Linked DNA regions of Alligator mississippiensis. The protein of the gene in region 1 purifies or fractionates together with the protein of each later gene. This does not show direct contact. Links are inferred from orthologs where the notes say so. Each region holds a gene or a part of one and is shown on either strand. Other genes may lie near its edges.

Region 1 (3,746 bases):
TCTTCCCTGCTACATGTCTGGACTTTTCAGATGCATCCCAGGCACATGAGAAGTCAGCCATTGGAAATGGTTGCTGTACTGTCAGTCAGGAGGGTGGGGTCACCCTCTTCCTGGGTTGCATGTATATTTAGGAGACACAGATCATGGGGGCAGGCCACTTCTTGGGAACTGTGACTAGTTAGGGGGCAGAGCCCTATTCTGATGTGGAGGAAGATGCTTTGGAAGGTGGCAGCTCCTTGTCTTCTAGGTGTTTGTATATAATGTTCTCAGGGCACGGTCAGCAATTTTCTCTTCCGCAGGCTGGATGTACAGAGGGAGATTCTGGGGGAGGGACTCACTTTCCGGTTCCAGTTGGGGCATGTATAGGAAAGTTTTGGAGAGAGGAATAACACTCCCTTATTGGGAACAGATTGTTCGGGAGGTGGGGGGGGGGGGGGGTGAAGTCATTTGTCCTGGATGGGGTGTGTCTTGGGAAAAGTCCTCTTTCTTTGATTGTGGGGATATTTTGAGGGGAGTTGAGTTGTGTTAAGCAGCTCTTTGCAGTCTAGGGCTTTATTTTCAGGTATATTGCCTTTATGACAATCGTTTATGACAATCCTTCTCAATCGTTTTAGACTTGAGCACCCCTCAAAAAAAAAATGCCGGCTCTTAGCTTTTGCTCGTTCCTTGGCTACAGAAAAATAATCAAGCAATTCTTCTGTCCCAAAGAACTCAGAAAGACCACAACAGGGCAGCATGTTCTGAATGCTAATTGAAACCTTGGGGTTTCTCTTGTGAATCCTGCGTTGGTGTCTGTACACCTAACAGTGCTAATATTGCACGGTACCCTGCATCACCCTTAAAAGGATCTCATGGAGCAGGGGTTGAGACGCCCTGCTTTATGGTGTTTAGTTAGGTATCTAATGATGAAGGGGCATGGAGGGCTGCAAGCTTTCACACACCCGGGTGCGCGGCATGGCGGCTGGAGTCGGTGCTTTGTCACTCCTGGAATTCTGCTTGTTTCCAGGTTTATTTGCCTCAGGATAATTTCACCTCCAGGCACTTTACTGCTTCTCCAAATCTACTCCCCTACCATTTCCACTACTTCTATGCCCCCCCCCATCTCTTTCCTCGTTCCCCAGCCCCACTCCTCACCCACCCCAGCATCACCTCCCTGCCCTCTCGGATAAGGTCCGGGTCTCTCCAAGTGCCTTTTCTGCTGTCTCCCCTCTTTCTATCGGTCCTCACACCTAGCACCCCCTTCACTCTCAGCCCAGCCACACTGTGGGCACTAGGCCAAGGGCAGGGCAGTAACCCGAGAGAAAGACACCATGTGGCAGGGCGGGGTGCGCTGCAGCATCCCCGCTCCAGCGCGGAGCAAGGGTGGGGCTGGCTCGGGCAGGGGGCTGCAGACCGGAGCAGAGACTTCCCCGGGGAGCACGAGAGCCCCCAGCGGCGCTGCCGGCCTCCCCCGCCTCTCCCCGCCGCGCCCTCAGCCTCTGGTGCCGCTGCTGCAGGCGGGTGTTGCAGCGTCTCTGCGTCAGGGAGGTGCGGCTCCCCCGGCTCCGCTCAGCCCTGCTCCCCTCCCCCTCCCGCCCCTCTCGCCTTGTGCTAGTCTTTAAACAGGCGCTGCAAAGGGAGGGCCGGGCACATGTGCGTCTCCATCATCCCTCTCCCGCTGTCCGCCTCTCGCCCGGGCACACCCGCACACACACACCCGCTCGCTCATTCATTCACTCCGAGGACGCCGGGCCAAGCCCCACACGCCGGCGCGAGCCCCGCCGGAGAGGTGAGGGGCCCGGCTCCGGCCGAGGGGGCTTCGCCCCGTGGGGGGGGGGGGGCACAGCCGTGCCCTCGGGGTGCTCCGGGCTTGGATGCTGCTGAATGGGGGAGGGGAAGGGGGGGGGGAGCCTGGCTCTTACCCCCGCGTGCGCGTGTGTACGTATGTGTGCATGTGCCGATGGATATGTGCGTGTGTCTCTGTGTGGGTGAGCGTGTACATGTGAGTAAGTATACGCGTGGGTGTGTGTGTATGCGCGTGGGTGTGTATCTGCATGTGCGTGCGTGTGTCTATGTGAGTGTGTGCATGTGCAGATGTATATGGGTGCCGCTCTGTGTGTAGATACAGGTTTGCGTGTGCCTGTGTCTGTGTATACGTGAGGGAGGGTGTGCGCGTGTGTCTGTGTATGTGTGGACGAGCGTGTGCATGTGCCTAAGTGTATGTGTGTGTGTATGCGCGTGGGTGCGTATGTATCTGTACGTGTCTATGTGAGTGTGTGCGTGTGTCTGTGCGTGCATGTGCATATACGTATATGATATGAGTGGATGCCTAAGCCATCTTGGTTCGCGGCGGCCGGGGGTGCGGGAGGCGCGAGGCATCCGCGGGGGCCGGCCGTGCCCCGAGGGCGCCGAGGGGGCGACGTGTCCGCCCGCTGCAGGAGGCGGGGCCCCTCCCCGCCGGCAAAGCCCTCGCCGTGCTGGGGGCAGGGGGCGCCGCTCCCGCGACAGGTCGGGCGCGCGCGTCAGGCTGCCTGGCCCCGGGGCCGAGGGAGGGAGCTGCGGGCTCCGAGGTGGGACAGAGAGGCAGGGGAGGGGGAGGTGCTCCCTCCTCGCTGCTGTCTCTGGCCCCCTCCCTCTCCCCGCGCCCCACCGCCAGTCTGGTAGGAGCAGCCCCGGGCGGGCTGCCGGCTGGTGCACTGTGATGTCAGCCATGTTTGGGTGGGTATGTTAATGAGGACCTCTCCTCAACCTTCATCTTCTTCCCTCGAGGCTTTTATCCCCCCCCCCCCCCATCTTTTTAAAGAGGACCCCCTTCCTTCCACAGGCATTGCACCACAGCCCAGAGGGGGAGATTCATGCTTCCCGTTTTATTTTTTGTGTTCTGCTTTTTGACTTCCCTTGATCATGCTCCTTAATGCCAACATCCATCTTCAGGGCATTCCTTTGTGGGCTGCTAAGTGTGATACAGCCAGGCAGGCGGGTTTTGGTTTTCTCTGCTAGGCTTTGTCTTGGGGGGGGTGGGATGTAGGACCTGGCCATGGCAGAGCTGCCAGCGCATTGTTGCCCAGCCAAACAAAGCGAGGAGCGGGGTGCGGAAGAATGGAAATGCCCCTTGCAAGAAATTGCATTTCATCAATGGGTTTTGTTTGGTTTTTTTGGTCAGAAATTGCTGTCTGGATCAGCCATTTTAGTCTTAGATAGGGGATTGCTGCATGTCAGGCACCGTGATTTTAGTTGTATTGGTGCACAGCAGAAAATTAACTGCTCAGCGTAGGGCTTTGTGAACGTCTCCCCTGCGTATGACAAGATAAGGATGCTGATTTCTTTCCGTTCCTCCTCCCCACCCCACTCATCCAAGAGTACATAAATGAGTAAAAAATAAGTGATTTCATATGAGTCAGGTGTTTCATCAGCCTCTGCATTCTGGCTGTGTGCGTTTAGGTGACTTTTTCTCAGACAAATTCTTCAGCTAACTTTCTCCTTTAAAAAAACATAATGAATAGTCCCCAAAATATATGTTTTATACAACCTGTTTCCCAGATAATTTAACAGTGATCCTCCTTGGTGATCTTCCTTGCTTTGCATAAAGAGAACATAGCTAATAAGTATAGGAATAACCAAGTCAAAATTACTCCATTTTGATTCTTAGCCATTATTCACAGTTTGGATTAGTAACATAGAAGTGGTTAAGATAACGCTGGTTAGGGCCTAGTTCTTCGTTCTCTGAGATCAGTTTTTTACTTAAGATTCCTGAACAAAACCTCCTA
Region 2 (3,746 bases), on another chromosome or scaffold:
GAGTATATGTGCTTGCCATGGCATATTGTCAGTTTTAAGAACAGATAATGGTCCACAATTTTCTGGAGCTGCATTTAAGCAGTGTGCAGCCCAGTATGACTTCAGCATATCACCAGCAGTCTGTATTTCCCACCTAGTAATGGGGAAGCAGAATGTGCAGTGCAGACTATGAAGAATTTGCTTGAGAAAAAATGAAGATCTCTATAAGGTTCTCCTAATACACCCTTCAATACCATTAGAGCATAGATGGAGTCCAGCTGAGTTGCTTCTGAGTCACTGATTCCATATAAGCCTACCCAACTTTGATAGGTGGTTTCAAAACTTGTGGATACACAGGAATTTGATGAGAAAGACAGAAATGGAATTATCAGTTTAACTGTCCTTTATAACACCAGGCATGCCTCAAGAAGTGTCCCTGCTCCTTCCCCATATCAGGAAAGTTTGGATTCCAGATGCAGGAGTACAAAGCACCATCTAGGCTAGGGCGGACAGCCCTTGTTCATATTGGGTGGAGACACCTAGAGGTCTTCTCCTTCAAGAAAATTGAGAGAATCTCCTTCATATTACACTTGTTTACCATATTAGGTCAGGATGTGCGTCAGATTCACCAAATAGACTAGATTTGTGAACTTAACTGCTTGAAAAGGGTTATTGATGTTTCTGATTTGATTATTCTCTTTTTGTAGAAAAGTGAGTGGTAAAGACTCACAAGAGCAATGTGCTTGCAACCTCTCCACTCAAGATGACTTTGCAGTTCTTTGAAAATCCTTCAGGTTTTTCTTAAGAAAGGGGGATGTAGTAGTAAGCCCTTCCTGAGGGCTGACACAATTATATCAACAGGAAGTTGTCAGCCATCTTTCTGTGTGGTTTAGCAGTTGCAATAAAGTCCTTTTGAGAGCAAGAAGTCTCCCTGCCTTTTCCTGAGCTATGAGATAGCACAGGGGCAGGGATCCATTAGCTCCTCACCTGCCCCCATGCCATGACCCACAGGGCTAGGGAGGCTGCCTCAGCTCTATGACAGAAGGCATGGGGCCACTGGCTGGCCTGGAGCGGACAAGCTGGGGTGGAGGCTAGCTGACCGCGAGATGGGGGCCTCTAAGCTGCGCAGCAGAACAGGTGCGCCTGGCAGTGCAGCATGAGTGTGCCTACATAGCTGCACATACCACAGAGCTTAGAGGGAATGCTGGATGGGGGTTAGCGGGGGGCTGCAATGTATCCTGGGATGCCAGAGGACTAAGCTCTAACTTGTGTTTGGAGGGGATCTAGGACACAAGTCTGATAACTGGTGTAACCTAAATCAGTTAATTCTGATACTACATCCATATCCATCTCAAACCAGTTTGTCATTTTGATACCAGTCTACGTGCACTGAACTTCTGTTGTGTTACAGGTTTAAACCAACTTCCAATCACTTATACCAGCTCATATATAATCACTGTCCCTAGGCCAGAAGTGGCTCCCCAAAGCACCAAAACTGGATCACCTCTGAGCCTAGACAGATTGCAGTGTTAGCCTATTATGTCAGCTCAAATAAACTGGGGAGCATACCACTTCAGAACTGTATTCTTTTGGGGATGTGGGAGCTAGCCTGATGTTTATCTGCCTCAGTGGTCTCCAACCTTTTTAAGTAGGAGATCACCTTTGGCATTTAAAAGCAATCCAAGATCTACTGTGCACAGCTGCCACCACCTCCACCCAGCAGGTAAGTCTGCAGGCAAGGAAGAGGGGGGGCAGACTGAGGCAGAAAAAATTATTTGGGGTCATGCCTCCCCTGCAGGTAAGTCCCACCTGGCCAGGACCCCATTCAACTTACCCCTGCTCCTGCCTCTGCAGCACTGTCCTTCACCATGGGGGCCTTGATCTAGCCCCCATCCCTTCCCTCCCCCCCACATGGACTGACCTGCTGGGCTGGGACACATGCACTCAGCACCCCACCCCAGCCTTGGATCAACTCCAAGAGGCTCCAAAGATCTACTGGTGGATCGAGATCCACTGTTGATGACCGCTGATCTACCTACTCTGGCCGAAGGCATAACATAGACACGTGCCCATGTATACCTTGAGTTCACATATCCTCTGAGCCTGCAAGATGGGGGGAAGGTTCGAACACCTGGAAGGGAGAGAGGATGGGGGGGAGGAGGGGTCGAACAGCTGGAAGGGGAAAGTTTCGACAGCTGGGACAGGATTGAAGTGGGGTGGTGCAGGTTCGAACAGCTGGCGGGGGGGGGGGGGGAGGAAAGATTCCAACAGCTGGGGAGAGGGGTCAGGGGGTGTTTCCAATCCCAGGTGACTGGGGAGGCAGGCTGGGCTGGGTTCCCGAAGGCATCCGCAGGACTCAGGAAAGAGCGGCAGAGCCTCCCACTCACCTCCAGGGTCTTGACCAGGACGGTCATGTAGAGCTCGGAGATACCCAGCGACACGCCGATGACCGACGGCAGCAGGATGAGGCCGAGCACCAGGGCAAGCCACACGGACAGCGCCACGGTCGCCGCCGCGCCCCACGCCTCCATGGCCCGGCTCTACGTCCGCTTGCAAGGGCGGTGGCTCGACTCGGCGGGGGGAGGAGGAGTGACCTAGAGGCTGCCGAGCGCTGCCCCGCCCCCTTCGCCCGCCCAGCCCAGCCCAGCTGTGCGCAGCTGCGTGCGGCCCTCTCAGCCCTGCCTGAGGCCGCCAGCGGCAGATCACGGGTTCCGGCTTCCTGGCTTGGTCGTAGTTAGTCGTCACGGTGTCTGCTGAAGCGAGCTTCAGCTCACAAAGCTTGTGATTACACACACACATACACACACACGTGCTATAGGGCGATACATGTACAGATGTGCTATAGACAGAGAGGTAGGTGTATGTTTGTGTATCTACCTGCCTACGGCCGGTGTGTGTGTAATTAAGTGTGGAGGGGGTTAGAGGCAGCGCTCCCCTGAGTTTCCTGCTCCAAATAGGAAGAACCTACTTGCACTGGACAGTGATCATTAGTGTGCGCTTAATGCACAGGAAAGTTTTGATGGTTATCCAGATTTTGAGTGGCCACATCCTTTTCTGCCCTTTGTCTTCCTAATTTCCAGGTAGGCAAGATTATTTAAGTAGATGCAATATCTTTATTAGACCAAATGAGTACTTGGAAAAAAGTTATAATCAAGCTGTCGGGTGCAGTCACCCTTCCTCAGGCATAGGAGGTCTCTGCTGTTCTGAGACTCCAAGGAATGAGAGGTGCTAAAAGTGTGGCAAGATGTCAGTGAGAATGTAAATAGGTCCTTTTTCACAGACAGCCTCTTTTCTGCCTTAACAATCTACTGCTGTAGAGTCTCCCTTACTCACCTTTGGCTTTTTCCCCCCTCATTCTCCTCCCCACTTCCCTGCTCTACCTGTTTTGTTTTCCTAATTCCCACCTATTTACATTCTCACTGACATCCTGTCACCCTTTTAGCTTCTCATTCCTCAGAGTCTCAGAACAGCAGAGGCTTCCTACGCCTGAAGAAGGGCGTTTGTGCCGGAAATCCTCCAGAAAACTTTTTTCCAACTACTCAGTTGGTCTGATATAAGATATCACATCTACCCAAAGAATCTTGTCTGACAAATACACACACTTCAAACACTGAGCATGACCATCAATTAAAAAGCTGCAAAAAAATCAGACAAAAATTGTAGGGTGCACTTAATACTTAAATTGGTAAGACCCAACTGACTTCCCCTATTGAAGGGGAGCTGCCAACCCTCCCCTTTTTATAGTTTAAAACGTGATATTATGTAAT

Evidence for each region.
Region 2: the proteins of SLC6A15 (region 1) and GPAT3 purify together in Homo sapiens (co-immunoprecipitation; 3 studies listed by BioGRID and IntAct, counting the BioPlex papers as one, with this or other methods). This does not show direct contact. The link is inferred for Alligator mississippiensis from reciprocal best matches to the Homo sapiens genes SLC6A15 and GPAT3.

The regions. Positions count from the first base shown.
Region 1 is NC_081827.1:81,766,548-81,770,293, reverse strand, and holds the start of SLC6A15 (sodium-dependent neutral amino acid transporter B(0)AT2), read left to right. Parts: upstream 1-1,574; 5' UTR 1,575-1,768; intron 1,769-3,746.
Region 2 is NC_081825.1:146,939,501-146,943,246, reverse strand, and holds the start of GPAT3 (glycerol-3-phosphate acyltransferase 3), read right to left. Parts: upstream 2,569-3,746; 5' UTR 2,511-2,568; coding exon 2,367-2,510; intron 1-2,366. UniProt on the Homo sapiens protein: Converts glycerol-3-phosphate to 1-acyl-sn-glycerol-3-phosphate (lysophosphatidic acid or LPA) by incorporating an acyl moiety at the sn-1 position of the glycerol backbone.